Linked DNA regions of Pelodiscus sinensis. The protein of the gene in region 2 purifies or fractionates together with the protein of the main gene of each other region. This does not show direct contact. Links are inferred from orthologs where the notes say so. Each region holds a gene or a part of one and is shown on either strand. Other genes may lie near its edges. The genes, in order: MTMR3, AURKA, ARFGAP1 and PPP6R2.

Evidence for each region.
Region 1: the proteins of AURKA (region 2) and MTMR3 purify together in Homo sapiens (affinity purification with mass spectrometry; 3 studies listed by BioGRID and IntAct, counting the BioPlex papers as one, with this or other methods). This does not show direct contact. The link is inferred for Pelodiscus sinensis from reciprocal best matches to the Homo sapiens genes AURKA and MTMR3.
Region 3: the proteins of AURKA (region 2) and ARFGAP1 purify together in Homo sapiens (affinity purification with mass spectrometry; 3 studies listed by BioGRID and IntAct, counting the BioPlex papers as one, with this or other methods). This does not show direct contact. The link is inferred for Pelodiscus sinensis from reciprocal best matches to the Homo sapiens genes AURKA and ARFGAP1.
Region 4: the proteins of AURKA (region 2) and PPP6R2 purify together in Homo sapiens (affinity purification with mass spectrometry; 4 studies listed by BioGRID and IntAct, counting the BioPlex papers as one, with this or other methods). This does not show direct contact. The link is inferred for Pelodiscus sinensis from reciprocal best matches to the Homo sapiens genes AURKA and PPP6R2.

What each region holds. Positions count from the first base shown.
Region 1 is NW_027465935.1:199,474-206,917, reverse strand, and holds the start of MTMR3 (phosphatidylinositol-3,5-bisphosphate 3-phosphatase MTMR3), read right to left. Parts: upstream 3,005-7,444; 5' UTR 1,377-3,004; intron 1-1,376. UniProt on the Homo sapiens protein: Lipid phosphatase that specifically dephosphorylates the D-3 position of phosphatidylinositol 3-phosphate and phosphatidylinositol 3,5-bisphosphate, generating phosphatidylinositol and phosphatidylinositol 5-phosphate.
Region 2 is NC_134728.1:15,105,994-15,113,972, reverse strand, and holds the start of AURKA (aurora kinase A), read right to left. Parts: upstream 3,015-7,979; 5' UTR 2,655-3,014; intron 2,628-2,654; exon of another isoform or gene 2,541-2,627; intron 2,244-2,540; exon of another isoform or gene 1,941-2,243; intron 1,783-1,940; 5' UTR 1,778-1,782; coding exon 1,724-1,777; intron 1-1,723. Other genes in the region: CSTF1 (cleavage stimulation factor subunit 1), read left to right, coding at 4,128-4,274. UniProt on the Homo sapiens protein: Mitotic serine/threonine kinase that contributes to the regulation of cell cycle progression.
Region 3 is NC_134728.1:6,522,998-6,530,366, forward strand, and holds the start of ARFGAP1 (ADP-ribosylation factor GTPase-activating protein 1), read right to left. Parts: upstream 3,004-7,369; 5' UTR 2,858-3,003; intron 1-2,857. UniProt on the Homo sapiens protein: GTPase-activating protein (GAP) for the ADP ribosylation factor 1 (ARF1). Involved in membrane trafficking and /or vesicle transport.
Region 4 is NC_134711.1:649,360-656,827, reverse strand, and holds the start of PPP6R2 (serine/threonine-protein phosphatase 6 regulatory subunit 2), read right to left. Parts: upstream 3,014-7,468; 5' UTR 2,857-3,013; intron 1-2,856. UniProt on the Homo sapiens protein: Regulatory subunit of protein phosphatase 6 (PP6). May function as a scaffolding PP6 subunit. Involved in the PP6-mediated dephosphorylation of NFKBIE opposing its degradation in response to TNF-alpha.

The DNA.
Region 1 (7,444 bases), on a different chromosome or scaffold from region 2:
GAGCAAAGCGGAAGAATGACTTCTTCTGTCTTGCTCACAACACTCCTTTTAACGCAGCCCAGAATCACGTCGGCTTTTTTTGCAAAAACGTCACACTGTTGACTCATATTTAGCTTGTGGTCCCCTCTGCCCCCCCCTATGGATCCCTTTCTATAGGACTCCTTCATAGACAGTCACTTCCCATTCCCTGGAAGTATACTGGAACAGGATACTGAACTCCGAGAGGCTCTGGGAGACAGACCCATAGTCTCCTATAGACAACCACCTAACCTCAAGATGATTCTTACCAACAACCACAGGACATACCACAGTAATACCAACCCTGGTACCTTCCCTTGCAACAAACCCCGTTGCCAACTTTTGTCCACATATTCACTCTGCTGATACCATTATTGGACCTAACCAAGTGAGTTATAAGATCAAGAACACATATTCCTGAGCATCCAGAAATATAATTTAAGCAATCATGTGCCGAAAGTGTCCGTCTGCTATGTACATTGGACAAACGTCTCAGACACTTCGCCAAAGGATCAATGCCCACAAAACAGATATTAGACAGGATCACAAAGAAAAAACAGTTTCTTGCCATTTCAACCAGAAAGGACATTGTCTCAACGACTTGATTACCTGCATCCTGCTTCAAAGGCCTTTTAAGACTTCACTTGAAAGAGAATCCTCTGAACTGTCATTCATGCTTAAATTCGACACTTTACACTCAAGTTTGAATAAAGACGCTAATTATCTTACCCATTATAAAGATAGCTTCCCCAATTATCACTTCTAATATCATTAGCTCACGGACATTTACCTCCCCCCCCCATCCCCTTCTGTTCTGAAATTTGATTTGTCCTTTTTATGTGTGTTCATTTTTTTAATTGTATCCTTTGGTATATATGATTGTGACAATTTTCTTCCACTATTTGATCTGAGGAAGTGGGTCTGGCCCACGAAAGCTCATCACCTATTAAACCATCTTGTTAGTCTTTAAAGTGCTACATAGTCCTGTTTTTTGTTTCAGCTACACCAGACTAACACGGCTACATTTCTATCGCTATTCCCATTCCCTATGTGTGAAACAGATTGTTCCTTTCTAAGTGGAACACTCTGCATTTGTACTTATTAAACTTCATCCTGTTTACCTCCGACCGTTCCTCCAGTTTGTCCAGATCAGTTTGAATTATAACCCTCTCCTCCAAAGCAGTTGCAACCCCTCCCAGCTGGGGATCATCTGCACACTTAATAAGCGTAATAAACTTAATAAGCTTAATAGCAGCCTTCAGGGATAAAAGACCACATTTGTTCGGCCAGCAAATTTGCGAAGACTCACGGCACAGCAGCTGCATGACACTTTCAATAAGATCTGTGAGGCAGATTACCGTGAAGTAATAGAAGCAACGACACTCTGTTCACCATCTGACCGCCCCTGTGCTGGTAGCTGCAACACACAGAACCAAGCTTCTTTGCGGTAGGCGTTTCGCAATTCCTTCACTTCGGGCTTGCTCTATAGTGCATCTCGGTCATGGCTCCTTTCAGTCATGCATCTTGACATGTGCCCGGAGGTATCAATCCCTACAGCTGGCGTGCAGCTGGGACTGGACGGCCTCCTCTCCCCAAACGCTGATGAGGTCCAGCACCTCAGCCTGGCTGCAAGTAGGGGATCTCCTGGTTCATGAAGCAGGCCTGGCCAGCTGGGAAGATGCACTGAGAACACACCATGCACTGCCGATCAAACAGGAAGGGGACTTTCAAATTTCAAAAAGACCGTAAAAGCACAGGTCTGAGGGTTGGTCATCTGACAGCAGGGCAATAGAGCACAAACAGATGACCAGAGAGGTAAGAACAGGCATTGTGGGAAAGGGGTCTGATGCCAGTCCAACGCAGTACTATACCATGGAGAGGAGAGATACACCCCCCAGCAGGGAGATACCATTGCTGGGGGAGAGAGGTGTCTCTCCTGGCAATCGCAGCCCTAATTCCTGCAACAGGGAGTACTAGGCAGCTGCACAGCTAAGAGGGGACATTAGCGTCAACCCACAACGGTAGTTGTTAGGCGGCTGCGCAGTCGTGGGAACTATGGTCATAACCCACTTTGATGTCCCGATCCAGCGTTTGAGAATTGCTGATACCGAAAAATAAAAGATCAACAGGCTGAGCAGAGTCAGAAGTCCTTTACAACGGGACTCTTGTTTTGCTGAATGTGCTATTTGAAGATAAAAGGGTTAGGAGTTTCACGGGCAAGTTTCATTCGGTTTAAAATATCAACCTGAGCATTTCCTGAAGGCAAAGTTCAGAGAGGAGAAAGACAGCGATATAACGAACCAGGCTTAAGAGGCGTTTCGGGATCAGCTTGCTACTACAAATAGCACGATGACATGGTAAGCAAAGATCAGAGTTTGGAATGGTGCCTTTTCGGGGCATGGAGCGAAAGGGTGGACGAAAGTAACCTCTGCAGTCCATACATTGGCCATGAGCTGGGGAAAATTCTCTACTGTAAGCCTTCTCAACACCTCATCGAAAAACTGCCTCTCCAGTCATGCAAACACAAGCAGGAACTGCCGGAGCAGCCCCTACCGCCGCCTGTCCATAGCAGGTGGGGAGTTCCTCCAGGTCCAACATAATTAAGTAAGAACACTAGATCCAATACAATTAAGTCAGAGTTTCTTCTATTATGCATCATACTTGCTTCCCAACTTTCATGCAGTTACATCTACGCAAACCTATTTATGGCAATCAGATTGGAAAAATGTCACTGAGAACAGCATCATATTTATCACACTTCTTTACTACTTTTTTAAACAGCAGGTCTGCTTCGTTTTCCTGGAAAAGGGACATTTTGTTGAACCGTGAAGCGTTAGAAGTTTGTGGCATATGAACGGAGCCAGATTTAACTTCCCACACAACTCCAGTTCAGATGTTTTTACTGGGGAAGCCCTTCTCTTGTTTCACAATGCTAAGAAATTCAGTATCACAGGTGGTTGTATAAGCAGTGGTCTCCAACCTTTTTACACCCAAAAATCACTTTTTAAATGACAGACCAAGCCAAGATCTACCGCCCCGCCCCTTCCCTCTCTATTCTCCTCCTCTCCATCACTTGCTATCCCCAATCCTTATACTGCTACTTTAAAAAAAAATTCCCACCATTCCTCGCAGCTACTCACCTGTGCTGTTGCTCGGTGAGTGGGAAAACTAATGTAAATGTACTGCGCAGGCGCGCAGTTCAGAGAGGGCTAAAGAGCTACTCTTAGAGCCTCCGAGATCTACCGGTAGATCGCGATCTACTGGTTGGTGACCACGGCTGTATGGGATGCAGCTTTTTACAAAAAGGAGAGATCTGAAACACAAGGGAAGCCCAAAGCAACATGAACCATGGAGAACTTAACTCAACGGAGGAGTATATTTCCCAGCGTCAGTTCTTTCCTCCAGTTCGAATGTATTATGTTGTTGGAAAAAAAAGTTCTCCAGCACTGTGTGAACTAAACAAACATGCCGAAATCATGTGATAATCCTTTCATACTCCGATGCAAGCAATAAAGATTCCAATCCAAAAAGGGAAAGGGGGAGGGAGAAGCACCACACAAATAAACTACTGTACAACACAGCCCCATGTACCAAAACTATAACCCACAAACCAAAACCTACAAGCAACGTCAGTGGGCAGACCGGCAAAATGTTTACCTTGCCCTCGCCAAAGACACGCTACTAAGACTCTCTCCAAAATGAAAAGGCGCATTATCTTCCTGTGGGAGTTAGTCCAATAAAGAAGGTTCACTGAATACAGACAAAAGGGATAATTGAATTATAATGGGTATCCAACCAGAATATAATGACCCATTGACTTGAATTTGCTGTCACCAGCAGTATGAACAGCAGTGGCGACAGAGAAAATTCAGAACCTTCCCACAAATATGCTATTTGCTCAGAGCAGGGGTGGGCAATCATTTTGGAAAGGGGGCAGGGGAGGTCCACTCCGAGAATTTGGAAAGTGGTTGAGGGCCACACTCTTCCATGATATTAATGGAGGGAGTGTGGGGTGCCGGATGAAGGTTAGGTGGAAAAGGGAGCAAATTTGAGTGACGGAGGCAAGTGAGACCTAGGGCACTGGAGTGGGGAGCAGGGGTTGGATTGTGATCTACGGCAAGGAATTGGAGTACAGGGGTTAGGGTTGTGAGCTAGGGCAGGGAATTGAGGTACAGGAGGGGGTACAGGGGTTTGGGCTGTGAGCTAGGGCAGGAGGGGACTGATCTGGGGCAGGGGATTGAGGTGCTGGATATGAGAGGGGGTATGGGTGCAGAGGATTTGGGTATGTGGAATGGGGGGGCAGAGGGAAGATCTGGCCAGGAGACTTACCAGCCAGCAGCCCTTTTCTGAATCCGCGTCCCTGCCTACCCCGCCTCCACACAGGCTGCAGCCACGTGCTCTGCGAATAACTACAACCCCCTTGTGCTTCGTGGCTGCCTGTTATTAAAAAGGCATTTCCCCATTGGCCAGTTTCTGGCTAGAAGCCGGCCAGTGAGATTGTGCTGGGGGCGGGAACAGCTCCTTTCAGTTTTTAAAGTGAAACCTGCCCACAGCCAATTCTGAGCAACGGGTGGGGTCCACAGGCCAGATCCGGTGACTTGGTGGGCCGGCCCCGGCCCGAGGGCCGTATTTTGCCCAGGCCTGACTTAGAGTCATGACAAAAACCCTAGAATCATAGAACCATAGAGCTGGAAGAGACCTCAGAAGGTCATCAAGTCCAGCCCCCTGCTCTAGGCAGGACCAATCCCAACTAAATCAACCCAGCCAGGGCTTGGTCAAGCCGAGACTTAAACACTTCTAGGGATGGAGACTCCACTACTTCCCTAGGGAACCCATTCCAGTGCTTCACCACCCGCCTAGTGAAATAGTTTTTCCTAATATCCAACCTGGACCTCTCCCACCACAACTTGAGACCATTGCTCCTTGTTCTGCCGTCTGTCACTACTGAGAACTGCCTCTCTCCATCCTCTTTGGAACCTCCCTTCAGGAAGTTGAAGGCTGCTATCAAATCCCCCCTCACTCTTCTCTTCTGCAGACTAAACAGACCCAACTCCCTCGGCCTCTCCTCGTAGGTCATGTGCTCCAGCCCCCGAATCATTTTGGTTGCCCTCCGCTGGCCCCTCGCCAATGCGTCCACATCCTTTTTGTAGCGGGGGGCCCAGAACTGGACACAATACTCCAGATGTGGCCTACATTGCACCATCAAACTAAAACACAAAAACCCAACATGCCAAGAGATTTCAGAGTGCTTGCATGTGTCATTACATGGACTGCTCCCTTCTGTAGTGCTGTTTATCTTCACATGTGGCCGGGGGAGGGATGTAAATCAAACTATTTTAAAAACACAAGTTCAACCAGTTGAGTCAAGTTAAATTTCTTGCCTAAGTACTAGAGTGAGCACAACAGCCCTGCATACCCTAGTTAGCTACACAGAAAACGAGGGCTTCTGTTCTGTTGGGAGAGTTACCGTTCAGCTGAGAAACCCTGCTGTTGCTGGGATAATTTTCCCCTTCTGACGCCAATCAGGGAAGAACTTTTCAGCAAAGCCGCCTTTGGGACACAGTGGGTACAGCTGAACCCAGTGACCTTCGTCTTTGCATCAATGGATTTTCAAGAGAGTCGTCTCGGGTCCTCCTTATTTAGCCCAGGGTTGCTTTTCCTTGTTCGATATACAAGTAGGTTATTCGGATGACACTCAGCTCATTAACAGAGTAACGGTACTGAACGTATTCCAAAGGGAACAGCATGTGCTGGACATACTATACCGGAGCTAATATTATTAGCTGTCCACACGGATTTGTTACTGTGTGTGAATGAAGAGGTCTCAATCTTACACTTGATCAGATAAATGCCCCCAAATAAATTTACAACCAGGCTGGTAGAGGTATGCGGTGCCTCACCTCTCTAAGTTTCAATGAGCAGGGCTCGACAAATTAGTTAATCAACTCGCCCGTGGCGAGTAGATTTCAGCCAGTCGCCCCATTTACCGGCGGCGCGTGCATGCGCAATGCGGGTCTTGCACATGTGCAGTGTGGGGCTGGCGAGTAGACTTCACTGCAGTTTGTCAAGCCCTGTCAATGAGGGTACATCTACACTATAAGGGGGTGTCTAGACTACATGCCTCCATCAACGGAGGCATGTAGATTAGACAGATCGGCAGAGGGAAATGAAGCCGCGATTTAAATAATCGCGGCTTCATTTAAATTTAAATGGCTGCCCCGCTCTGCCGATCAGATGTTTGTCGGCAGATCGGGGCAGTCTGGACGCGCCGCTGTCGACAAAGAAGCCTTTGTTGATCAGCGCAGGTATGCCTCGTGAAACCAGGTTTACCTGCACCGATCGACAAAGGCTTCCTTGTCGACCGCGGTGCGTCCAGACTACCCAATCTGCTGATCAGCTGTTTGTCGGCTCAGCGCGGCAACCATTTACGTTTAAATAAAGCGGTGATTATTTAAATCTACGCTTCATTTCCCTTTTTCAAATAAACTAATCTACATGTCTCCGTCGACGGAGGCATGTAGTATAGACGTACCCCAAGAGCTGTGTATCTACACTGCAAGAGAGCTTCCAGAATAGCATATTTCAAAAGAGAGCATCCATACTACAGGGATGCCTCAAAATTAGTCCGAGGTGGGCTCCCCTATATTGGATGCGCTCTCTCGATTTAGAGCCCCAGGAGGCACTGGGGAGGAGCTATTTTGACAGAGCAGCAGTAGAGCGTCCACAAACATCCTTTTCCGAAAAAGCTTTTTTGGAAGAGGCTTTATTCCGCGTAGAATGAGGTTTACCAACGTCGAAAAAAGCCCTCCGTTATTTCAATTTTCTTTCAAAAAAACGCAATTGCTGTGTGGATGCTAGGATTGTTTTTCCCAGAATAATGGTCGTTTTCCCGGAAAATCGGTGCAGCATAGACGCACCGAGTCGCAACAGCTTTGCCAATTCCCACAATGAACACAGATGTCATGGGCACGCTCCTAGATCCAGAGCCACCTCACACGTTTCAAGCAGTTGTCTCCAACCTTTTTATGTGCAGGAGCAGCCCCTGCCTGCGAGGTGGGGGGGCGGAGGGGCCAGGGTACACAGGCCACAGAAAAGCCACACACACACGTTGATTATTGACAAGGTTATAAAAAGGCCTGGAAGACAGATTGGAGGTGGGGGAAGATTCCAACTAACTGAAAAGGTTTTTTCCTATTGCAGTGCGACTTATGCACCCTTACGGAGGAGGAAAGGTCTTCAAATCACTCTTTGGGACAAGGAACTCGGGCACGGAGGTAGGGGGAGAACGTGGAACAGTGACAAACAAGGTCAAAGCAGAAGAGGATGTAACTGATGGGAGAACTAATAAGAGGTTGTTCAAGATGAACGTGATTATACAATACAGGAGGCAAAGGCAAAAGTGAGGGGAGAGAAGAAGGCCATGGTG
Region 2 (7,979 bases):
CTCCTGACCCCAGTGCTGCTGCCTCTCAGAGAAGCAGCAGTGGGCAGCGTGAGGGGGCAAGTGGAAGCCTATATACATGGGAAGCGGGATTTTAAGCCAGCTTCCCACACGGATTGACTCTCACACGCCACTTGCCACAGGATGGTGGGCAGGTGGGAGCTGGCCTATCAGAGGCAGCAGCATCAATGGGAAAGGGGAAACTGCTTCTAGGGATGCTGGCATAGCCTCTGTCCAGAGGTAGCTCAGACCCCCAATAGCAGGGTGGCAGGGGGCTCCCTGGGAGTGGGGCCAGGAGCGCACTGGCTGCCAGTCCTGCCCCCAGGGACTGTTAAAATTTGATGCGGTTACATGACTATTCAATTAATCACTAACATCCCTAGGGGCAACACAAGAAAAAAAACGTTTTAAATCCACTGATCTAGACCACCCTTACAGGTATTTGTCTATCCTATTCTTAAAAACCTCTGACAAATTCCACAACCTCCAATAAGCAATTTATTACAGAATTCATCTACTCTTACAGTTAGGAAGTTTATCCTAATATCTAACCTAAAATCTCCCTTGCTTCAATTTAAATCTACTACTTCTTATCCTGTCCTCAGTGGATAAGGAGAACAATTTTATCCTCCTCATTCTAACAACCTTTCATGCACTTAAATGCTTATATTCCCTCTCTTCTCTAGACCAGTGATTTTTAAAAACTTTTTCTTGTGACCCAGTTGAAGAAAATGATTGATGCTTGTAACCCAACAAAGTTTGACTAAAGTGCCAGCTCCTACGTGGGGCCAAGGATTTGGGGTACAGAAGTGAGCTGGGTTTGGAGGAAGGGGCACAGGGTTACCTATGACAGCTCCTAGTCAGCAAGCAGCCACAGTGGGGGTGCTAAGGCAGGCTTCTTGCCTGTCCTGGAACTGCACATCACACCGCACCCAGAAGATGCCGGCACAGGCCCGGCTCCTAGGCAGGCAAGCATACTGCTCTTGCCCACAGACAACATTGCCCCACCCTGAGCTCTTGGTCAATGGAAGTGCAGAGCCAGTGTTTTTGGTGGGGGGCAGTATTCATAACCTAGTGGTCCTCTGCCTAGGAGCCAGATCTGCTGATGGCTGCTTCCAGGGCACAGTGCAGTACCAGGACAGGCAGGAAGCCAGCTTTAGTTCCCCTCCCACCCCCACTAGTCATCCTACAGCAAGGGGACCCAGTGCCTGACATTCAGTGGCCCAATACTGGATTGCAACTGGTAGTCTGAAAACCACTGCTCTAGACTAAAAAGAAGCCCTTTTTATTGTAGTATGGTGCTCAGAACTGAACACAATACTTCAGCCAGATCTTATCAATGTTGAGTGGGGTGGAAGAATTACATCTCGTGTCTTGAAATTTTTTTTTTAAATAGTGTAACAGCACTTTAAAGACTAACAAAACATGTAGATCTTGTGTCTTGTTTGGAACATTCCCACCAATACATCCCAGAATGGATTAAGCTGCCACCCCACAAGAAAACGTTTTAACACCTACGACATGTGAAAGCAATCTATATATAGAAGCTTTACAAGTTGTATTCACAATAGTGAGCTACTGACAAAGCAGCTTGGTGAATATTCCATGTCAGAGTATAATGCTTCAATACAAGAGTTGGATAATTATCTCAGATAATTTGTAGAATCTTTGTCTGATCATACCAAATAAAATGTGTTTGCCTCGCAAGTGTACAAGACTTCTTTACCTTAACACTGTGACCAGGAAGCCCATTGTGGTTCTCTTTACCATTTTTCTCCATGTTACCTAAATAGAGAACATTTAATTGCAGAGACATTATTAAATGGAAATTTTTATAAACAGAGCACCCTTCTTGTCACCCCCTACACTTCTTCCTCATGCCCCCCACCCCCTTACGTTCTGCTATCCTCATCCACACCACCACATCCAGTTTTCACACTCACGCTACTGGTAGTCTCCCACATCCGGTCCTGCTCAATCGCCTCTCGTTACCACCGGGAGAGTAGATGATGATGGTTCCCAGCCGCCAGAAAAATCCGAGTCTAGGAACCCCGTGTCCATTTCAGCTGCTCTTCCTCCTCGTACAACCCCCCGTCCCTGGATCCTGCCCCTCAAATCCAGCTCCTCGGACAACCCTCTCCCCCATTACAAGGCGTCACCTCCCCGCAGCTCCTGCTCACAAACTGCCTCAAAGGCAACTGCACAGGCCTCACAATTCCCCTTCTGCTGCAACGTTCGCCCACCTGCAGGAAACTCCCCGCCTGGGAAACCCTCCCTCGCTGCACCCCCTCCATAAACTGACCCCCCCCCCCGCTGCACCCCCTCCATAAACTGACCCCCCCGCTGCAACCCCTCCATAAACTCACCCTCTCCCCATCTGAGAAGCCCCCCCCCGCTGCAACCCCCCCAACTCACTCCCCCCCCACTCGAGAAGCCCCCGAACGCGGCCGCAATCGTACAGCCCCCAGGAAGCCCCGTTCCCCTCCGTCCCTACACTACAGCCCCCGAGGCGACCCCATCCCCAGCGCCCGAGGTCTCCTCACCGTCACCGCCGTCAGAGCAGTTTGAATTCAAACCGCCCTCCTAGCGATACCCTTTAAACCGCCGCCGCTCTCCATTGGCCCGACCAGCGCCCCGCCTCTGCTCCCCAGTCTCACCTCCCTCGCCGCGCAGCGTTGCCGGACACTAAACGCTGCTCGCCCCTGGCAGTGCTGCTGCACCACGGATGAAGCGTGTAGTCTCCAGTCACCCCCTGGGCAGGGCGGGATCCGGCTTCTGCTCAGCACTTTACCGCCTGTAACTAACTTAGCTCTCCCCCCGCACACACCGCGTAGTAGCGGTGAATAGCCCGTACAACAGATAATTAAACGATCGGCTGATGGAGATTTGGGTTTTTTTTTTGTTTAAGGTGCCCGCCCGCGGAGGCCCCCGACTGGTCTCGCTCAGCCACGTGAACACAAAGCGGCCTGTTACTCCAATCTGCTATTTTTAAAATTCAGATACATGATTGGCCTCCCCATCCCACGTGACCAGGGCCGCGGCCATTGGCTAACTTGAAGGGCGGGAAAAATCTTTGTGGAAGCGACGTGCTTGCGAGCTCACGCCCGCGCGGGGGTGGAGCTTCTTTTCAAAATGGTCGCCACGCTTCCCTCGCTGAGGGTCAGTTGGAAGCAACCATTTTAAAAAGACAACCCCCACACACACCAAACTTGGCAACTTCCACCCTCCCCCAAAATAAACCCTAGCGCGGGAAAACTGCAAGTCCAAATCCGCTGCTAGTAACTGCGTGGACAGGAGCTGGGCTGGAGAGACGCGATTTGCGTAAAGACCGAGCACGCGGTGATTGTGTAAAGTAAACTCCGTAACGGGCGCCTCCATCTACGAAACTAGCGGAAGAAGCGAGCGGCAACTGCTGCGTAAAGCACGCACGTCGCGTTAAACCCACCCTAGGGACTGCAAGGCGCGGCAGGCCGTGGGCACGCCTGCGCTCGAGCCGTGCCCGTGACGTGGGGACAGGCTCGCTCGGCGACCAGAGGCACGCTTCGGAACCAATCGGCGGGCGGCGCGGTTGAAGCGTAGCCAATCAGTGGCTCCTGGCCGGCCATTACGGCCCGGCGCAGAGAGCGTGCGCGGCGCGGCTGAGGGTGGAGACAGGGAAGGCTGCGCTAGACGGTGCTTAGACCCCCTGCTCTGGGGAGAGGGGCGGCTGTTGCCTTACGAGCGTGTCGCACCCGTGGCCGGGGACGTGGGATCCGTGGCCGTCGCGCGGGGACGTCAGGGGGTCACTGGGCAGCGTGTCGCGCCAGCGGTGACGTGCGGCCAGTGACGGGGCCCAGGGGGCTGTGAAGCGCAAACGCGAAGGAGACGCGGAGCCATCGTGTCGCACCGGCGGGGCCGTGGGCGCTCGAGCACCGACGCCAGCGGGCCGTTGGGCAGTGTCGTTGTACTTAGCGGTGAGGCGGCTCCCCTAGGACCGGGGCTGTCAAGGGGCCCTCGATCCATTGTGCGATCCGGCCTGAGGACAACGTGAGGCCTTTGGAGGCGTGTGCTCCAAGGCAGCTCCCCTTGCCCCCGCGCTCGTGAGGACAAGCGTGATTGTGGTCTCGGTGTGTGGCGCTGACGAGTGATCGATGGCGGCGAGGCCAGGTGTGAGGAGGCTGTCAGGCCGTCGCCTTCCCTCCGCCTGTGAAAGACGCCTGCTTCCCCGAGGCCTGAATAACGTGGGCCCCCTACCTCCTGAGCCACGGCCACTGCGGCTGCCTTTTCTAGAGGCTGAGGTGAGTTGGACCGCCTGTGGGGTGGGGTGGGGTGGGAGCTGTTCTTTTGGGATAGGCCCTCAGCTGATGCCCCCTGAAGTGCCTTGTCTGAAAGTGCCATCCTATTGTCGACTAAATTCTGCAGTCATCTTAGAGGCCTGGCTTCCTGCAAGGCTTGGGATGTGGGTGGCACATTGGCGATGTCATGCAGTATCCCTAGGCTTTCTAGTCTAGACCCAATAAAACGTAGCAGTTCTCCTGTCCAGTCTCCTGAGATCAAGCTGCTCTCACTCCATCAAAATAGGAATTGAACTCAAGGAGTTCTGAATTTCAACTACAGATCCTACTAGGCTCTTTAATCCCTTTCTAATGTCTGACCAGAAATCACCATTGATCTCTGCTCCTTTATCATTCCTTAGCGTACCATGCCTTGATTATTACATCCCACGTTTCCTACCACTGGAAATAAATTAGTTGTATTCTTCTGGACTAAACTTCTGTTGTTAGAATTCCCTGTGCTTCCAGATCAGGACTAGAGCCTGCCTTTCCATGCTGCTAGGGGTCTGTATATGCCCACATTTTTGTGATGCCCATGGGTTAAGACACCCAGCAGGTGATAGTGGACCCTTGGTTGTTCAGCATGTACTCCCTTGTTCATAGTACAGTTTACTGCGGATACCACTTACTGCCATCTAGGTATTCTGTTATTGCACTGTGGCTCCCTCTATACTTCTCCACCTTCTCGTCCAAAGTAGCATATTATGACTGAGGGGAGCACTCCCATCACAGTGTGCTACCTCTAATTCTTCCCATTCTCTGGTCCACAGAAAAAAGTTGTGATGGGAGTGCTCCCATCTATCATATGTAACCAGAATTGTTTACAAATCAACATAATATGTCACCAGAATTGCTTACTTCTGCCTTTTGCATGGCAGCATTTTTAGAAACAGAATTATTTTTGTGACTTTATCTAAATGTACATTAAAATTGAACACTTAATCATTTGTATTTTGACTGTATAACTGTAAAAAAAATCTATTTTAAAATTATACAGTATATCCACTTTGTAAATATCACAACTATAATTGCACAAAGTTTATATACTCTTTCTTTTTACTGCTTAGGGTGTTTGTAGTGGAACACAGAGGGCACCTGCCCACCTCTTGCAGGAGTCACACTGTGCCTTTGAAATATAATATAATAAATGGAAAAAATGACACTAAACATTGTGCCAAATATAATTTCAATTAATTCAGAATTGTAAAATATTTCACAAATGTCTGCTGTGATTTTTAACTTTCTGGTAAATATACCACTATTTGCTGCAGTTCAAGTATTGGTTGATGTAGAATTATTACCACAATTCTGATCTTTATCCAAGTTATTCCATCTGTTCTATGTGCAACTGTCTAGATACTGGGCCATAACTTCTGTTCTTGTGCAATGAACAATTTTCTATTTACTTTCCTGCTCAAACGTATGGTGTGTATTTCTAATACAATTTTGTGTTTCTAACATTATGCAATCTTAATTTTCCTTCTTGCATATGATAAGGTTCCAGCAATAGGCTTTTGTACTCTGCAAAATCAATACAATTTAATCAAATGATTTCCTAATTACAAAAACTGTACATAAAAGTAGATTGATTAATGTTACTTTTTATTTCAAGAACTGTATTAATGACTTACAAATATTTTGGGGGACATATTTAAATAATAGTTGGTACCCTCATCTGCTTGCCTTAAACTGTTTGATGCTTGCAGATTTAACTCTATCCTACTTATTACAGTGTTATTTTGGATTCTATCATGTTTTTCATTTTTCACTAATTAAACGCAATATTCAGAATTCATACAGAAGAACTCAGTTTCTTTCATTAGGGTACCATACTTGTGACCTATTTTAATGTACTGGAGTAAATGTGATCTAACATTCCACTCTTCATGTTTACTTTACCATATACTCTGACTTCACTAGGAATATGTAACAAAGCTATGCCTAATTTAGATTTCTTGTGTAGTTTTCACATCAGTGATGTCTTTATTAGCTTATAGAAATATATTTGGAACATAAACTTTTAAAATAGAAAACTTGCCACAATTAAGAAGTAATCAGAATTTGACATTAAATACTTTTGGGATGAGTGGCCCAACTGTTGTTTCCATCCAATAGGATCTTGTGTTCCACAACTTTGTTTTCCAGAAGTCACACAGTAGATTTTTCCAGTTTCTAAGTGAACAAAGAATCTTAACTTTAAAATGAGTAGCAAATAGCTGACTTAATAAGCAGATTTCATTTTTTCTTAGTCTCAATGTTTAGTATGGTTTACTTTATTTAATGAATGCTTGGAATCAGCGCATGCACACACATGGTTTTGTGTTAGGTAGTAGATGCACACTTTATCAGAATCTTGTGCAACAGTAAGGATGAGGACAGATATGTCTTGTTACTGTTTTATCCTTCACTATCAGGAACCTTCTTTCCTTGCTGTAGCTAATTGACAATAGCACCCCATTAACACTGCTTAATGACTACAAAAATAAGCATTTTAAAATAATAATCTTCTAGCTTATGGGAGAAGGGAATAGGGAGATGAGGTGAGACCTTCCAACCCATCTTATGTCAACCAACCTCTTCTAGAGCTTGGCTCTCATCAGGGAAATACATCTGGGCAGTGGGGGCTAACCATATAGATACTAATATAGACACAGGGACAGACACACCACTGGTGGGAGCTGGGACCCGCAGTTTCCAGCTCACCAGGAGGGGGAGCTACAGATTCTAAGGGTGAGGGGAAGAGGGCAATTGATACCTCTCTAGATGGGCTTGGAGGCCTTTAAGATTTTTTGCTTGTACATGGGAAAGGAGTATTCTTCCAGCCCCCTATAGCTTCCATGGACCTTTCTTCCTCCTCACCTAAGCTTCTCAAACCCTGTCCTTCCCAACCAGACCCATTTATCCCTTCTCCTTTGATCTAACTCAAACTCTCTGCTCTTATTCCCATCTACTCTCCTACCCTCTCATGTTTCCCTGGGAGTAATCGCATGTGTATTTTTTTTTCTTTAAAAAATAATCCACACCTACAGACTGTTCTGCTATACTCAGATTACATTTCCACGGAATCAAAGCTCCCTTTTGACAGAGTCAGATTGGAGCAAATTGCGCCTATTGCTTTTATTTCAGATTTCTCTGGTGGGTTAGATTTGCCATGAGGCTGTGGCTTATGTTTGGTCATCATAATAGTCCTCCATGAGCCATTCAAGACTTTAGTCGTGGGGTGGGGTGGGGATGAAGTAGAGGTAATTTCCAGTTAGCCTTTCTGTACACAGGCTCAGTATAATCCATGTGGTATGACATTAAGTACTTCAAAGAGTGGTGTGTAGTACAGGAAAATTAAAGAAAAGGATAGTGGGTACCAGGCACTGTGTTGAGATAGCTGTCAAGCATTTGAGAGACTGGTGTGAAGATCTCTGTCTATGATCAAACATCCTTACATGAATATTAATAAAAGAGGGATGAGGGACGATGAGGGGTGGTATCTTGTGAACTGCTTAATACTGCCCCAATTACTGCCCAGGAGACGCACAGTTTCAAGCCGATCTAAGAAAGGCAGGGGAAACTAAAGTTTTGATGCCAACCTATCATATAAGTCTCTTAGTCATTTGATCCAAAAGAATAAGTTTGTGCAACCTCCCCCTCAAAACTGTAAAATCACAGTAAAAATAT
Region 3 (7,369 bases), about 8.6 Mb from region 2:
CTGGCAAAAAGCAGAGGACCCAAGTGCAGAAAGAACTTCAGTTCCTGATTCAGATAACATAGCTCCAGAGTGAGAGTCCATTACTCAAGAGAAAGCATTGCAGTGAAAGTTGTGACTGCCATGATCACACCAACTTTATAGTGCTATAGAAGTCATGCATGTTCACAGCAGTTCTGAGAGATAGACAAGTACATCCATTGTACAGATGGGGAAAGCGAGGCAGAAAAAGGTTAAGTGAATTAACCAGGGCTAGTGAGAGACCTATTGAAGCACCATTAGAATTCTAAAGTCCCTGGCTCCCAGTTCTGTGTTCAGACTATCTCCCCCTCCAGTATCCCTAGTGATCAAGACTCCCTCAGTGTTTATTTTCCTATGTGAATGTTTTTTCAATTATGGATTCATCTGTTCCAAGCATCACAACGTCATTAAAGTCAACCTAGAACTATAACAGAACTCTGACCTTCCATTATCTGGCTGTCTGTACTGATAATCAGTGCACAAAGGTCCAGAAGGGGGCAGTCTTTCTTGTGGCTACTACCTGGCACTGCAGCATTAGACTTTCCCATTCTTCAGTTTATCTGGATTGCTGATTATCCAATCAGGTCTCAGTCCCAATTAGATTGGATAAATGGGGTTCTGCGGTAGGCAAAAGCATGAGTTTTCAAAGTTGGGTCACAGGCCTGCGCAGGTAAGTCGCTGCTGAGCTGTGAGATATTTTGTTTATCTTAGCATCCATAGGCACAGAGCCTTGCAGCTCCCATTGGCTTTGGATCACTATTTGCAGCCACGGGGAGCTGTGCGCGTTGGGCTGCTGCTTTCCGCAGCTCCCCTTGACTGGAAACGGCAAAAGTCAATGGGAGCTACAAGGCTCCATGCTTATGGACACTAAAAAAAACAAAACATCTCGTGGCCTGCCAGCAACTTATGCGGATGGGCCCACAACCCAACTTTGAAAACCCCTGATCTACGAGTTAAGCCACAACCAATAGTAATACCCTAAGAGCTGGTTTTTTACATACACATTTACAGATACTGGTCATCTTTCAGAACTCAGCTGAGGAAACTGGCAAAGACAATTAAAATGTGTTATTTTGTTTGGAAGTTGGGCTCCCTAGGGCTTTTGCTACACTTCAAAGGCAGAGACACGCTATCGACTAATCAAATAGTCGATGTAAAATGCATCGACTAATCAATTAGTCAATATTTAACATCCCTATTAGAAATAATAAAACTAAAATTTCTCTCTGCCATCATCTTCCAGGCTAGTGTGTTTGCTTTTTCACCACAGTGGCCAGAAGTAGAATGCCTCAGCCCCAGCCCAGGCTGCCTTGGGAGATGGGAGTCAGAGCAGGCTGCTGTGTAGTTCTGCTTTTCCGCAGCTCGCACTGCTATGGTGAATGAGGGGGGCTCCAACCACCGCTGACAACACTGGCCCACTCAGGCCCCACAGACTAACCTGAGTATTGGGGACCATCCTGTCCACAGAATGGTTGGAGTGACCATCACAGGACCCCACCAAAGTGCAAGGCCTGGGAAGACCACCCCGAATCATCCTAATGATGGGACAACTCTTCGCATATCTCCCTCAAGCCACAGGGAATTGACAGCAGTGGCTCAGAGTGGTGGTGCTACCCTTCCCCCAAGGGGGCTCTTAAATTGCCTTGGGGCAGCAGGTGGGAAAACACAGGGGAGCGCAGGGGCCAGCAGACGGGGGAGGGTGAAGAACACATGGACAAACACACACGCCCAGGCCCGGTCAGAGAGGGGTACCCGCTGGCTCACTAGGAGGCTTTAAGGACAGGCCCTGGCCCGAAGGTAAATTGAGTTTGAGCCCCCTGCTGTACACCCAGATCCAACCCATTGAAGACGGTATCAGCACGTGGCCAGATTCGTAATGAGGATGGAGGCTTCGCCCCAGGAGGTTTCGGGGAGGGGGGAGCAGAAGAGTAAGGCTCTTCACAGGCGCAGGGGAGAGTCTCACTGGACCAGGGCTGCCTTTTTTTTTTTTTTTGGACCACATGATTTTAACCTTTCTGCCTTTCCAGGGCAAGATCAAACCATCAAGTGGGGGCGGGGGGGGGGAATGCAACTACCGGGGGGGTGATCCGGGCCCCACCTGCACGGATGGCTGGTCATGGGGGGGGGGCTGATCCGGGCCCCACCTGCACGGATGGCTGGTCGGGGAGGGGGGGGGGCTGATCCGGGCCCCCCCTGCACGGATGGCTGGTCCGGGGAGGGGGGGGGGCTGATCCGGGCCCCCCCTGCACGGATGGCTGGTCCGGGGAGGGGGGGGGCTGATCCGGGCCCCCCCTGCACGGATGGCTGGTCGGGGGGGGGGGGAGGGGCTGATCCGGGCCCCCCCTGCACGGATGGCTGGTCGGGGGGGGGGAGGGGCTGATCCGGGCCCCCCCTGCACGGATGGCTGGTCGGGGGGGGGGAGGGGCTGATCCGGGCCCCCCCTGCACGGATGGCTGGTCGGGGGGGGGGAGGGGCTGATCCGGGCCCCCCCTGCACGGATGGCTGGTCGGGGGGGGGGAGGGGCTGATCCGGGCCCCCCCTGCACGGATGGCTGGTCCGGGGGGGGCTCCCAAGGGCCAGGCGGGTCCCAGCGAAGGGACACGCCCCGGCGGCAGTGAGACCGGCCGGCAAGGACCTCACGTCCGGGGCTGCCTCGACCGACCCAGGGCTCGGGGGGGCTGGGGGGGGGTTGCAGCGGCTGCCGTCTCGCCCCGCCGGGGAGCCCCCCACCAGGCCCGAGGACAGGGGGAGGGGCGGTCAAGGCCCAGAGGAGCCCGCGGGGGGGGGGGGGGGCGCTGAGGGAAGTCGGGGCCGGAGGGGGGAGGGGCCGGCTCGGTACCTGCTGCGGCGGCCCCGGCTCCTGCTCGCACCCGGCTCCTCAGCGCGCAGCCGCCGCCGAACCCGGCGACGTTGCACGTTCGCAAAGCATGCTGGGCCGGGGAGAAGGGGTTAACCCCCTCGGGCCCGGCGGCCTGCGCGGCAGCTGGGCGGGGCCGTCGGACGCCCGAGAGCGACCGACGCGGCGGCTCCAGTGAGCCAACGACAGGGCCCGACGCTGCCCTCAGCGGGACTCGCCCCGCCCCCCTCCGCACTAGGAGCCCGCCCAGAGACTCCGCCCCTGGGGAGTTTGTCTGCACTGCAGCGCTATTGCGGGGGGGGGGTCCCCAATAGCTATTCACGTCCCCAAGGGGGGGTCCCCAGTAGCTAATGACGTTACTTGGGGGGGTCCCCAATAGCTATTCACGTCACTGGGGGGGTCCCCAATAGCTATTCACGTCCCCAAGGGGGGGTCCCCAGTAGCTATTCACGTCACTGGGGGGGGTCCCCAATAGCTATTCACGTCACTTGGGCTGTGTCTCGACTGCAGGGTTTTTTCGAACAAAGTCGCCTTTTTTTGAAAAAACTTCCCCTGCGTCTAGACTACAGCCGCGTTCTTTCGAAATTAAAAATCAATGTCTGGATGCTCTCTTTCGAAAAAGAGACGCCTGTTTGCAGTCAAGGACGCCTCTTTTCGAAATCGGCTTTTCTTTCGACGGCGGTACGCCTCATTTCACGAGGAAGAACGCCTTTTTTCGAAAGGGCTCTTTCAAAAAAAGGTGCTATGTAAGGCAAACTGCTTTTTCGAAAGAGAGCATCCAGCCTACCTGGGTACTCTCTTTCGAAAAAGCAGTTTGCTTTTTCGGAAGTACTGATTGTAGTCTAGATGCTCTTTATCGAAAGAAGCTTTTTCGAAAGTATCTTTCGAAACAGCCTCTTTCGAAAGAGGCTTGCAGTCTAGACGTAGCCTAAGAGACGCAGCTTGCATCGCTCAAATTGCGTAGCTCATTTCGACCTGCGGTGCAGTGTAGATGCACCAGTAGCATGGGGGCCACTGACGGACAGAAAAATCAGTCAGAGCCACACACAAGTGAAAAACAAAAAACGAGCCCCCACTGATGTGGCCCCCAACAGAGGAGAAAGATATTCTGCACATTCCCCCTTGCTCACCAGAGCCTAAGGGACCCCAGATTAGTAGATTTTGTGTGGTGAGGCAGCAAGGCGGCTGGAGCACCAGTGCAGGCTTCCCATTGCTGGGGGGTTCTGGGCCTGAGGTTCCCCACCCCGGCCACAGAGACCATATGCTACTCATTTTCAGTGCTATACCTGTTCCAGCCTTGATAGTAAATGGTCTATTGTCCTGCCATGGTTATATGGGGGATTAACAAGAATAACTCTTTTTACTATTAATGGTGGCTACATGCATAATCCTTGCCTTACATTAAAGAGAAAATAATGGACTCCAAATATGTGTACATTGGAGGCGGGCAATGAAACAAAGTAAATTCTACGGGCTCGTCTACATTGGCCCCTTTTCCGGAAGGGGCATGTTAATTTCAGAGATCGCAATAGGGAAATCCGCGGGGGATTTAAATATCCCCCGCGGCATTTAAATAAAAATGTCCGCCGCTTTTTTCCAGCTTTTAGAAAAGCCGGAAAAGAGCGTCTACACTGGCCCCGATCCTCCGGAAAAAAAGCCCTTTTCTGGAGGATCTTATTCCTACTTTGAAGCCGGAAAAAAGCGGCGGACATTTTTATTTAAATGCCGCGGGGGATATTTAAATCCCCTGCGGATTTCCCTATTGCGATCTCTGAAATTAACATGCCCCTTCCGGAAAAGGGGCCAGTGTAGACGTAGCCTATCTGTATAATTTGCTTTTCCAGTTAAGGACAAAGTGACTTCTTCTGATAAGTACCATTATTTTCTGGTAATATGAACTAATATGAAATGAGGTTCCCATTATATACACACTATATGAGAATCTAATTAGCGTATCAATCATACTTTTTCTATAATTGATTTAGGGCACAGTGGTTGGTATCAGCATTGATTCTGCAGTGTGTCTGATAGGTTTATTTTGCATATTCAATACTTTATGCTTGCAGCCTCAAGGGAGCACTGTTGTGCAACATTTATTCATATGCCACAAATGATGCAGCACTGAGGTATTAATACTGTCTCTATTCTTGGTTAATATACCAAAGAGGAACATTCTAACACTGTCTGGGCAGCATAATCTTCCAGTGGCAGCCTTGGCTGACTGAATCAAAATTGCCACTAATAATGTGGGAGCATATTAATGCATTGCTTGCTCTTTTACAGAAGATATAAGTTATGAATTGCATGGAACAATAAATAGATCTAGATGCTTACATTTGCACCATGTGGTAGCAATATTGCAACCCTTCCTAACATGAAAGAAGTCTTCACTCACACAATAAATCAGAAATAGGAGTAAGTACTTGTGTGAGGATTACAGGATCAGGGCCTTTCATTCAGTGGTAATGAGACAAAGCCAGCACTGGCTACGTCTATACGAGTTTTTCCAGCAGAAAATATGCTAATGAGGGCAGGGCCGGCTCAAGCCATTCCTGCTCCTCCAGCAGCGGGCGCGTGATACATGCGCGGCTCAAACCCCGGGCACACGGCACATGCACGGTCCCGCCCCCCAGCGCACTGTGCACCTTACAGCTGCAATCGGGCACGTGGTGCCTGATTGCAGCTCTAAGGGGCGCCGCGCGGTGCCCCTTATAGCTGCCATCAGGCGCCCCCCATAGGTTGGCGTCCTGGGCAGCTGCCCGGCTAACCCCCCCTTAATCCGGTCCTGAATGAGGGACTCATTAGCATAAAGCGTGATCTAATTTGCATTTTTTCTGCCAATCCATTTTTTCGCTAGGGGTTTTTGCGCAAAAACAAGCAGTGTGGCCATTTCCTTCATGCACAAAAACCCTTTTTTACGCAAGATCAGTATACCTCTTTTTTTTGAGGCATAAGGATCTTGTACAAAAAGGGGTTTTTGCACAAAAAGAAAACATCCACACAGTTTATTTTTGTGCAAAAACCCCTAGCAAAAAAATGGATTGGCAGAAAATATGTAAATGAGATCACGGCTTATGCTAATGAGTCCCTTATTAGCATATTTTCTGCTGCAAAAACTTGTAGTGTAGATGTAGCACTATGTCTCTCATACACAGCATACAAATGAATCAATGCAGTTCCCTAGCAAGTTTGAATTGCTCTGTTCCTCGAATCTGGGACAGGTACATAACCCCATTGCCATCTCTGAAATTGGAGACAGATATCTGTAGTGTGGGAGTAAGCAAACATTTTAAATATTAACATCTAGGACTCAGAAAAAAAAAGTCAAATTCTATCTTTCTTGGTTGACTGGCTACTAGTTGGACTTCAAATATGTATTTGGGTATTGTACAAGGGTATTTAGGCTTGAGGTAGATCTTGGATTGCACTTAAATTCAAAAAGTGATTTCATGCTTTAAAAGGTTGGAGACCACTGGCTTAAACTGAAAGGGAACAAGTGAGTATGTGGTCCCTCTTTTTAACATGTTTACGTAACTCAGGCTTTGTCTACACTACGAGGTTTTTGCGGCAGAGAGTATGCTAATGATCGACTCATTAGCATGAGTCGCAATGTCATTAGCAAATTTTCTGCCAATGCTTTTCGCACAAGGGGTTTTTGCGCAAAAATAAGCAGTGTAGCTGCTTCCATTTTGCGCAAAAAACCCTTTTGTGCAAGATTCCGGAGAGGCATAAGGATTTTGCGCAAAAGGGGGTTTTTTTTGCACAAAATGGAAGTGGCTACACTGCTTATTTTTGCGCAAAAATAACCTTTGCGCAAAAAGCATTGGCAGAAAATATGCTAATGACATCGCGACTCATGCTAATTAATCCATCATTAGCATACTCTCTGTCACAAAAACTTGTAGTGTAGACATTGCCTCAATGTAGTAAATCCAAGGACTGATCAGATGGGGAGATTTGCAATAAATGTTATCATTCAGTTTCTGCATTGTAATTAATTATAACTTATGTAGCAATAATAATAAAATCCTAACAACGAAACCTGGCACATTTTTAGCTTTCTGTATCTCTTCAATAACCTCCAAGTGCCACTGGTGGGAAATGTGATAAGACCTGGAGCTTTTTGCTCTACACTGCACCCTCTGATTTCCTAATGGCACTTCTTAGAAATAAAACACTCCTACTCCACGAGTGGTTAACTATAAGGTCGTTTACACTAAGCTGGCCTGCTTCTGGGAAGAAGGCATCTTAGAAAGCATTCCACGATGACTTCTCCCAAAATAAATATATTAATTAGAGTGGTTTTGTCTGTGTTTTCAAAAGTGCTGTACTTGTTATTGACACTTAATGCTATAGTTAATTATAGTAAGCACTTTTGGTCCTAATCCTGCAAAGACTTAACACAGTTAAATCTAGACATTCCAGCAGTCTTAATTATTTTCCCTGGGTTACTCATTTGTGTAAGTCTTTGCAGGAGTGGGACCTTAGTCTTTT
Region 4 (7,468 bases), on a different chromosome or scaffold from region 2:
GGGGATCACAGGTCTCACAAGGAGCCAACTTGGGGAGTACATGGGGAGACTCAGGAAGCAGACACACTGATGAGTACATGGTGAGGCAGGCAAGCTCAGGGTACCACAGGAAGGCAAGCAGGAGGTGGGGGGGACTGATGTTTCCATGGAGAGGGCTCATGGATGTTGGGAGAGTGAAGCACATCTAGATCCACAGGCATCTCTATGGGGGGCTCAGATATATCCAGAGAGAGGGAGCTCAAGAGGGCAGGCACATTGGATAAAGGGGGCCTCACGTGCTTCATGAGGCTAGAGGGCAGACACTATGGGGGAGAGCTCATGATGGCTCAGATTCCCAGGGGAGGGAGGACAACACACACTTTGGAGCAGGTCCATCCAGGGATGTAGACACCTCAACTGGGAGGAGGGCTTAGTCACCTCAGGGGAGGCCCATGGTGATAGGCACACCCAAAGGAGGAAGACACCTGGTAAGGGAGCTCACAGGGCAGGCACACTGGGGGCTAGAGGCATCACCGGGAGCTCAGACAGCTCCGGGGCAGGTAATGGGAGAAGGGTCAAACAGCTTTGGGAGTTAAGGGGGCACAAAAAGCTCCAGGTGCACTGGGAGGGGGTGTCAGACAGCTCTGAGAGGTATGGGGGGGCACTGCCAGCTCCAGGGAGGCACTGGGGGGGGCATCAGACAGCTCCAGGGAGCACTGGGGGGGTGCTGGGAGTGTCAGACAGCTCAGGGGCGCTGGGGAGGAGCACAGGGGGGCAGACAGCTCGGGGTGCTGGGGGGTCAGGCAGCTCAGGGGGGCACTGGAGGGGGGGATCAGACAGCTGGGGAAGTGTTGGGAGGTCAGACAGCTCAGGGGGCCCTCAGTGGATCACGCAGCTTGGGGGCAGGCCTCGGGGGCGCTGAGGGCTCGGAGCGCGGGGGGGCACTGGGGGCTCAGGGAGTTCGGGGGGCTCGGGGGGCAGGCTCCTGGGGGACTCGGGGGCGCTGCTGGCAGGGAGCTCGGGAGGTTCGGGGGGGCAGGCCCGGAGGGGGTCGGGGGGCAGGGGGCTGGGCGGGGCAGGGAGCTCAGGGGGGGCAGGCCCGGGGGGTACTCGGGGAGGCAGGCTCTCGGGGGTGCTGCCAGCAGGGAGCTCGGGGCGGGCTCGGGGGGGTCAAGCTCGAGGGGCCAGCCCGGGGGGGGGCTCTCGGGGGCGCTGCCGGCAGGGAGCTCGGGGGGGGGACCCGGGGGGGCTCTCGGGGGTTCGGGGGGGCAGGCCCGGGGGGGCTGGGGGCTGGGGGGGCTCTCGGGGGCGCTGCTGGCAGGGAGCTCAGGGGGGGCTCTCGGGGGTTCGGGGGGGCAGGCCCGGGGGGCTGGGGGGGCTCTCGGGGGCGCTGCCGGCAGGGAGCTCGGGGGGGCCCGATGGGGGCGGGACCGGGGGGCTCTCGGGAGGGGATCAGGCCCGGGAGGTTTGGGGGGGCTCTCGGGGGCGCTGCCGGCAGGGAGCTCGGGGGGGTTCGGGGGGGCAGGCCCGGAGGGGCCCGGGGGGGACTCTCGGGGGCGCTGCCGGCAGGGAGCTCGGGGCGGGCTCGGGGGGGGTCAAGCTCGAGGGGCCAGCCCGGGGGGGGGCTCTCGGGGGCGCTGCCGGCAGGGAGCTCGGGGGGGGGACCCGGGGGGGCTCTCGGGGGTTCGGGGGGGCAGGCCCGGGGGGGCTGGGGGCTGGGGGGGCTCTCGGGGGCGCTGCTGGCAGGGAGCTCAGGGGGGGCTCTCGGGGGTTCGGGGGGGCAGGCCCGGGGGGCTGGGGGGGCTCTCGGGGGCGCTGCCGGCAGGGAGCTCGGGGGGGCCCGATGGGGGCGGGACCGGGGGGCTCTCGGGAGGGGATCAGGCCCGGGGGGTTTGGGGGGGCTCTCGGGGGCGCTGCCGGCAGGGAGCTCGGGGGGGTTCGGGGGGGCAGGCCCGGAGGGGCCCGGGGGGGACTCTCGGGGGCGCTGCCGGCAGGGAGCTCGGGGGGGTTCGGGGGGGCAGGCCCGGGGGGGCCCGGGGGGGACTTTCGGGGGCGCTGCCGGCAGGGAGCTCGGGGGGGTTCGGGGGGGCGGGCCCGGGGGGGCTCTCGGGGGCGCTGCCGGCAGGGAGCTCGGGGGGGTTCGGGGGGGCAGGCCCGGGGGGGCCCGGGGGGCCCGGGGGGGCGCTGCCGGCAGGGAGCTCGGGGGGGTTCGGGGGGGCAGGCCCGGGGGGGGCCCGGGGGGGCTGGGGGGCGCTGCCGGCAGGGAGCTCGCGGGGGTTCGGGGGGGGTGGGGGGGGGCTCTCGGGGGCGCTGCCGGCAGGGAGCTCGGGGGGGGTTCGGCGGGGCCCGGGGGGGGGCTCTCGGGGGCGCTGCCGGCAGGGAGCTCGGGGGGGTTCGGGGGGGCAGGCCCGGGGGGGCCCGGGGGGGCGCTGCCGGCAGGAAGCTCGGGGGGGTTCGGGGGGGCAGGCCCGGGGGGGGCCCGGGGGGGCTGGGGGGCGCTGCCGGCAGGGAGCTCGCGGGGGTTCGGGGGGGGGTGGGGGGGGCTCTCGGGGGCGCTGCCGGCAGGGAGCTCGGGGGGGGTTCGGCGGGGCCCGGGGGGGGCTCTCGGGGGCGCTGCCGGCAGGGAGCTCGGGGGGGTTCGGGGGGGGCAGGCCCGGGGGGGCCCGGGGGGGCGCTGCCGGCAGGGAGCTCGGGGGGGTTCGGGGGGGCAGGCCCGGGGGGGGCCCGGGGGGGCTGGGGGGCGCTGCCGGCAGGGAGCTCGGGAGGTTCGGGGGGGCAGGCCCGGGGGGCCCGGGGGGGCTGGGGGGCGCTGCCGGCAGGGAGCCGGGCGCGCGGCGGCTCCGTCCCCAGGGACCCCGGGCTCGGCCGCGCTCTCACCTGCTCGGGGCCTCCCCGCGCGGCCCGAGGCGCGGCCGCTCCCCGGCTGCAGAGGCGCGAGGGGCGGCGGCGGGTCGCGCTGTCACCGGGCGCCGGGCTGAGGGCTCGGACGCCTCAGGCTCGCTCGCTCCAAAATGGCGGCGGGAGCGGCCTGCCCAGACCCGGGAAGGGGGCGGGCCTGCCGCGCGGAGTGGGCGGGGCCAATGGAGTGACAGGCACGTGAAGCCGCTGGGCAGCTCCAGGGTAGGAGCAGGGGGAAGGTTCCATGGGCATGGGGAGGGGAGATGGGACGGTTCCATGGGGTGGGGGAAGGTTCCATGGATATGGGGAGGGGAGATGGGAAGGTCCCATGGGCGGGAGGGGGAAGGTTCCATGGGCATGGGGAGGGGAGATGGGAAGGTCCCATGGGCGGGAGGGGGAAGGTTCCATGGACATGGGGAGGGGAGCTGGGAAGGTCCCATGGGCGGGAGGGGGAAGGTTCCATGGGCATGGGGAAGGGAGATGGGAAGGTCCCATGGGAGGGGAGATGGGAAGGTCCCATGGGCATGGGGAGGGGAGATGGGAAGGTCCCATGGGCGGGAGGGGGAAGGTTCCATGGGCATGGGGAGGGGAGATGGGAAGGTCCCATGGGCGGGAGGGGGAAGGTTCCATGGACATGGGGAGGGGAGATGGGAAGGTCCCATGGGCGGGAGGGGGAAGGTTCCATGGGCATGGGGAAGGGAGATGGGAAGGTCCCATGGGCGGGAGGGGGAAGGTTCCATGGGCATGGGGAGGGGAGATGGGAAGGTCCCATGGGCATGGGGAGGGGAGATGGGAAGGTCCCATGGGCGGGAGGGGGAAGGTTCCATGGGCATGGGGAAGGGAGATGGGAAGGTTCCATGAGGAGGATGGGAAGGTTCCGTGGCGGGTGGGAATGGCATTTGGCGTGGGGGAGAATGGCTACTTATACTATGGGTACTTATGTTCTTAAGTTTGGTGAAAGACCTGGTATAAATATTGATTGACTCCCTGTATCCATGTGCTTGTTAACACCCTTAAAGAATCCTAATAGATTAGTGAGGCATGATTTCCCTTAGAAAAGCCACATTGGCTCTTTCCCCACAAAACACATTATTGATTGGTCTGATCATTTTGTTTTTACCATAGTTTCTACCAGTTGCTGGGTACTGACCAGCGCCCCCTCAGCCCCCAAAAAAACCATGATTTCTCTTCTACCATCCTTAGGGAGGAGGGCTGGGACAACCCTCACCTCTACCCCAGGCCTCACTCCTGCTCCGCTCTTTCCCGCCCTGATCCACCCCCATCCCGCCTGTAATTGCCAGGATGTTCTCTGAAGCTCTTTTTAAAAATCAGTTCAACTGCCCTCTACATGCCAGCCTGGTACAAGAAAATGATTACTTGGAATTTGAAAAATGTCACATTGGACCATTTCCCATAGTCTCTCAGTGTGTCTTGTCTTCCCTTTGCCTGTCTTATTTAGGCCTTCATCCTGCAAATACTTTCAGTCTTAATGTTCAGCATTTGTGTTATTTCATGGAAGTCTAAAGGGCTACTCACATAAATAAAGTTACTCACATGCAAGTCTTTGCAGGTTTGGAGATGATGGCCAAATCTTCAGGTAGGGTTGCCAGATGGTTTAACAAAAAATACCGAACATCTCCCCCCTCCCCGCAAAAAAACAAAACAAAACACCAGGAAAAATTCCGTTGAGAAAAAAAAGGGGGAAACCAAAGTTGTTAAGAAAAAAAAAAGGGGCACCACGACTTTAAATGGCCCTGTGCTCCTAACTCCCCGGCCCCCACCAGACACTGCAGGGGAAAATTGTCCCCGCCGGGCTTCTGTCCGAGGGAAACAGGAAATACTGGACAGTTCACATGTCCAGTATTTTCTGGTTTTTTAACCGGACGGGGGACCCAAATAACGGACAGTCTGGGTGAAAACCGGACACCTGGCAACCCTGTCTTCAGGAGAAAAGATTTTTTCCAGTAACACTAAACCGGCATACACCCCTAATGTAGGCACAGTTTATACAGGCAAAAAAGTGTTTTTGGTAGTATAATGTATACAGTATAAGGGTGGTTTTACTAGTAGAACTCTATCCACACTAGGACTTTTGCAAATATAGGCTTATTACACACACACACACACACACACACACACACACACAATTCCTAATTGGTGTTACTACACCTGCAAATGTTTCCAGTAGACCTGGAGTTAGTCTGTAAGCTCTTTAAGGCAGGGCCTCTTCGATGACTTTTAAACAGGATACTGGGAATCATTAAGAAGGGGATAGAGAATAAGACAGTGAATATTTTATTGCCTCTCTTTTAATCTATGGAACACTCACGTCTTGAATACCGCGTACCGATGTGGTCGCCTCCTCTCAAAAAAGATACATCGGCATTGGAAAAAGTTCAGAAAAGGGCAACATAAAAATATTAGGGGTATGGAATGACTGCCATCTGAGGAGAGATTAGTGAGAGCTTTGGTGAGGTCAGCCCCCAAATACGCTTAAGTTCTGCAGGACCTTAAGTGCAAAAATATGGTCAGAATTTGGGAACTTCATAGGAATAAAACTCTGGACCCGTGGTTCTTAGATACCTCAGGAAAACTGAACTCTGGCAGGCCTCGTCCTCTAGTCTAGAGTTTGGGAGCTTACTTACCTTCTCTGCAGACCAGAAGTTCTCTGCATCTCTCTGCCACAGAATTCCTAAATGTCACAGGCCCAGAACACTTGGGAAGCCCAAGTAAAAGCTCTACAACAACCAAGTGAAATACTCCGGGGCCAAGCCTCAGATCATCAGAACCCGTCAAAAAGTTAAGAAATATCAATGTTAAGATTGAATGCCAAAGCCTGCCTCGGTTACCATGTGTATGCTTTCTGGTGCAGTCTTTAACCATGAGGTCACAAGTTTTCCCAGACGATACAATATTACAATACAACCTTTAATTTGTTGAGTCTAGGATCTCAGATACACATGCATCTCAGATTGCAGAAAAATTGTATTATGGCACTGAATTTCTCCCTGGACAACTAAATAGGCTAAGTTACCGAGGAGACAAATGAAGCAAAAATTTAAAAGGAATTTAAGATCATTTAAATCTGTTTATTTGTAGAGAAAGGGCTTGAGAAGTCCGATTAAGAATATTAAAGTGGAGTCCATGTGAACCAAAAAGACCAGCGAATTCAGCCAAATAGTTTTCCCCTTCTATAAAATGCCTTCAAGGAATCAAGGAAATTCGTACAGCTGTCACCACCACACATACATTTTATCTGGGCAAGTGTTTGCCAAAAAGATTAAGTAAGAATGGTAGTGATAGGTCTAGGAACCTCTGAGAAGCAAACAATAGGCAGAAGACATACTAAAGAAATGTGCACTGTCATTTCAAAGAGGAACAATAATGGGCACAAGGCCAGCACAGATCCTGGGTGAGCTCCAGATGTCTCCCTTGACAATTACATCTTCCAAGACTCAGATTACAGGGCAGACGAACAGTCAAGCTCAGATTTAAAGCTTAACAATCAGTATCTTGGACAGACACATAGGAGGGAAAGGACACCAAATATAGTTTGTATTGGTAAAGGGATTTCTCTCTATCTGGACAAATACAATAGTCTGTTAGAATCATAGAATCATAGAATAAAAGGACTGGAAGGGACCTCGAGAGGTCATCGAGTCCAGCCCCCCGCCCTCAAGGCAGGACCAAGCTCTGTCTACACCATCCCTGACAGATGTCTATCTAACCTGTCCTTAAATATCTCCAGAGAGGGAGATTCCACCACCTCCCTTGGCAATTTATTCCAATATTTGACCACCCTGACAGTTAGGAATTTTTTTCTAATGTCCAATCTAAACCTCCCCTGCTGCACTTTAAGCCCATTACTCCTTGTCCTGTCCTCAGAAACCAAGAGGAACAAATTTTCGCCTTCCTCCTTGTGACACCCTTTTAGATATTTGAAAACCGCTATCATGTCCCCCCTTAATCTTCTTTTTTCCAAACTAAACAAGCCCAGTTCATGAAGCCTGGCTTCATAGGTCATGTTCTCTAAACCTTTAATCATTCTTGTCGCTCTTCTCTGTACCCTTTCCAATTTCTCCACATCTTTCTTGAAATGTGGCGCCCAGAACTGGACACAGTACTCCAGCTGAGGCCTAACTAGTGCAGAGTAGAGCGGCAGAATGACTTCACGAGTTTTGCTTACAACACACCTGTTGATACAACCTAGAATCATATTTGCTTTTTTTGCAACAGCATCACACTGTTGACTCATATTCAACTTGTGGTCCACTATGACCCCTAGATCCCTTTCCGCCATGCTCCTTCCTAGACAGTCGCTTCCCATCTTGTATGTATGGAACTGATTGTTCCTTCCTAAGTGGAGCACTTTGCATTTCTCTTTATTAAACCTCATCCTGTTTACCTCTGACCATTTCTCTAACCTGCTAAGGTCATTTTGAATTATGTCCCTATCCTCCAAAGAAGTCGCAACCCCACCCAGTTTGGTATCATCTGCAAACTTAATAAGCGTACTCTCTATCCCAATATCTACATCTGTTAAATGATTTTAATGCAGTTTCTAGTCACTGGGCCAGATTCTGCTCCATAT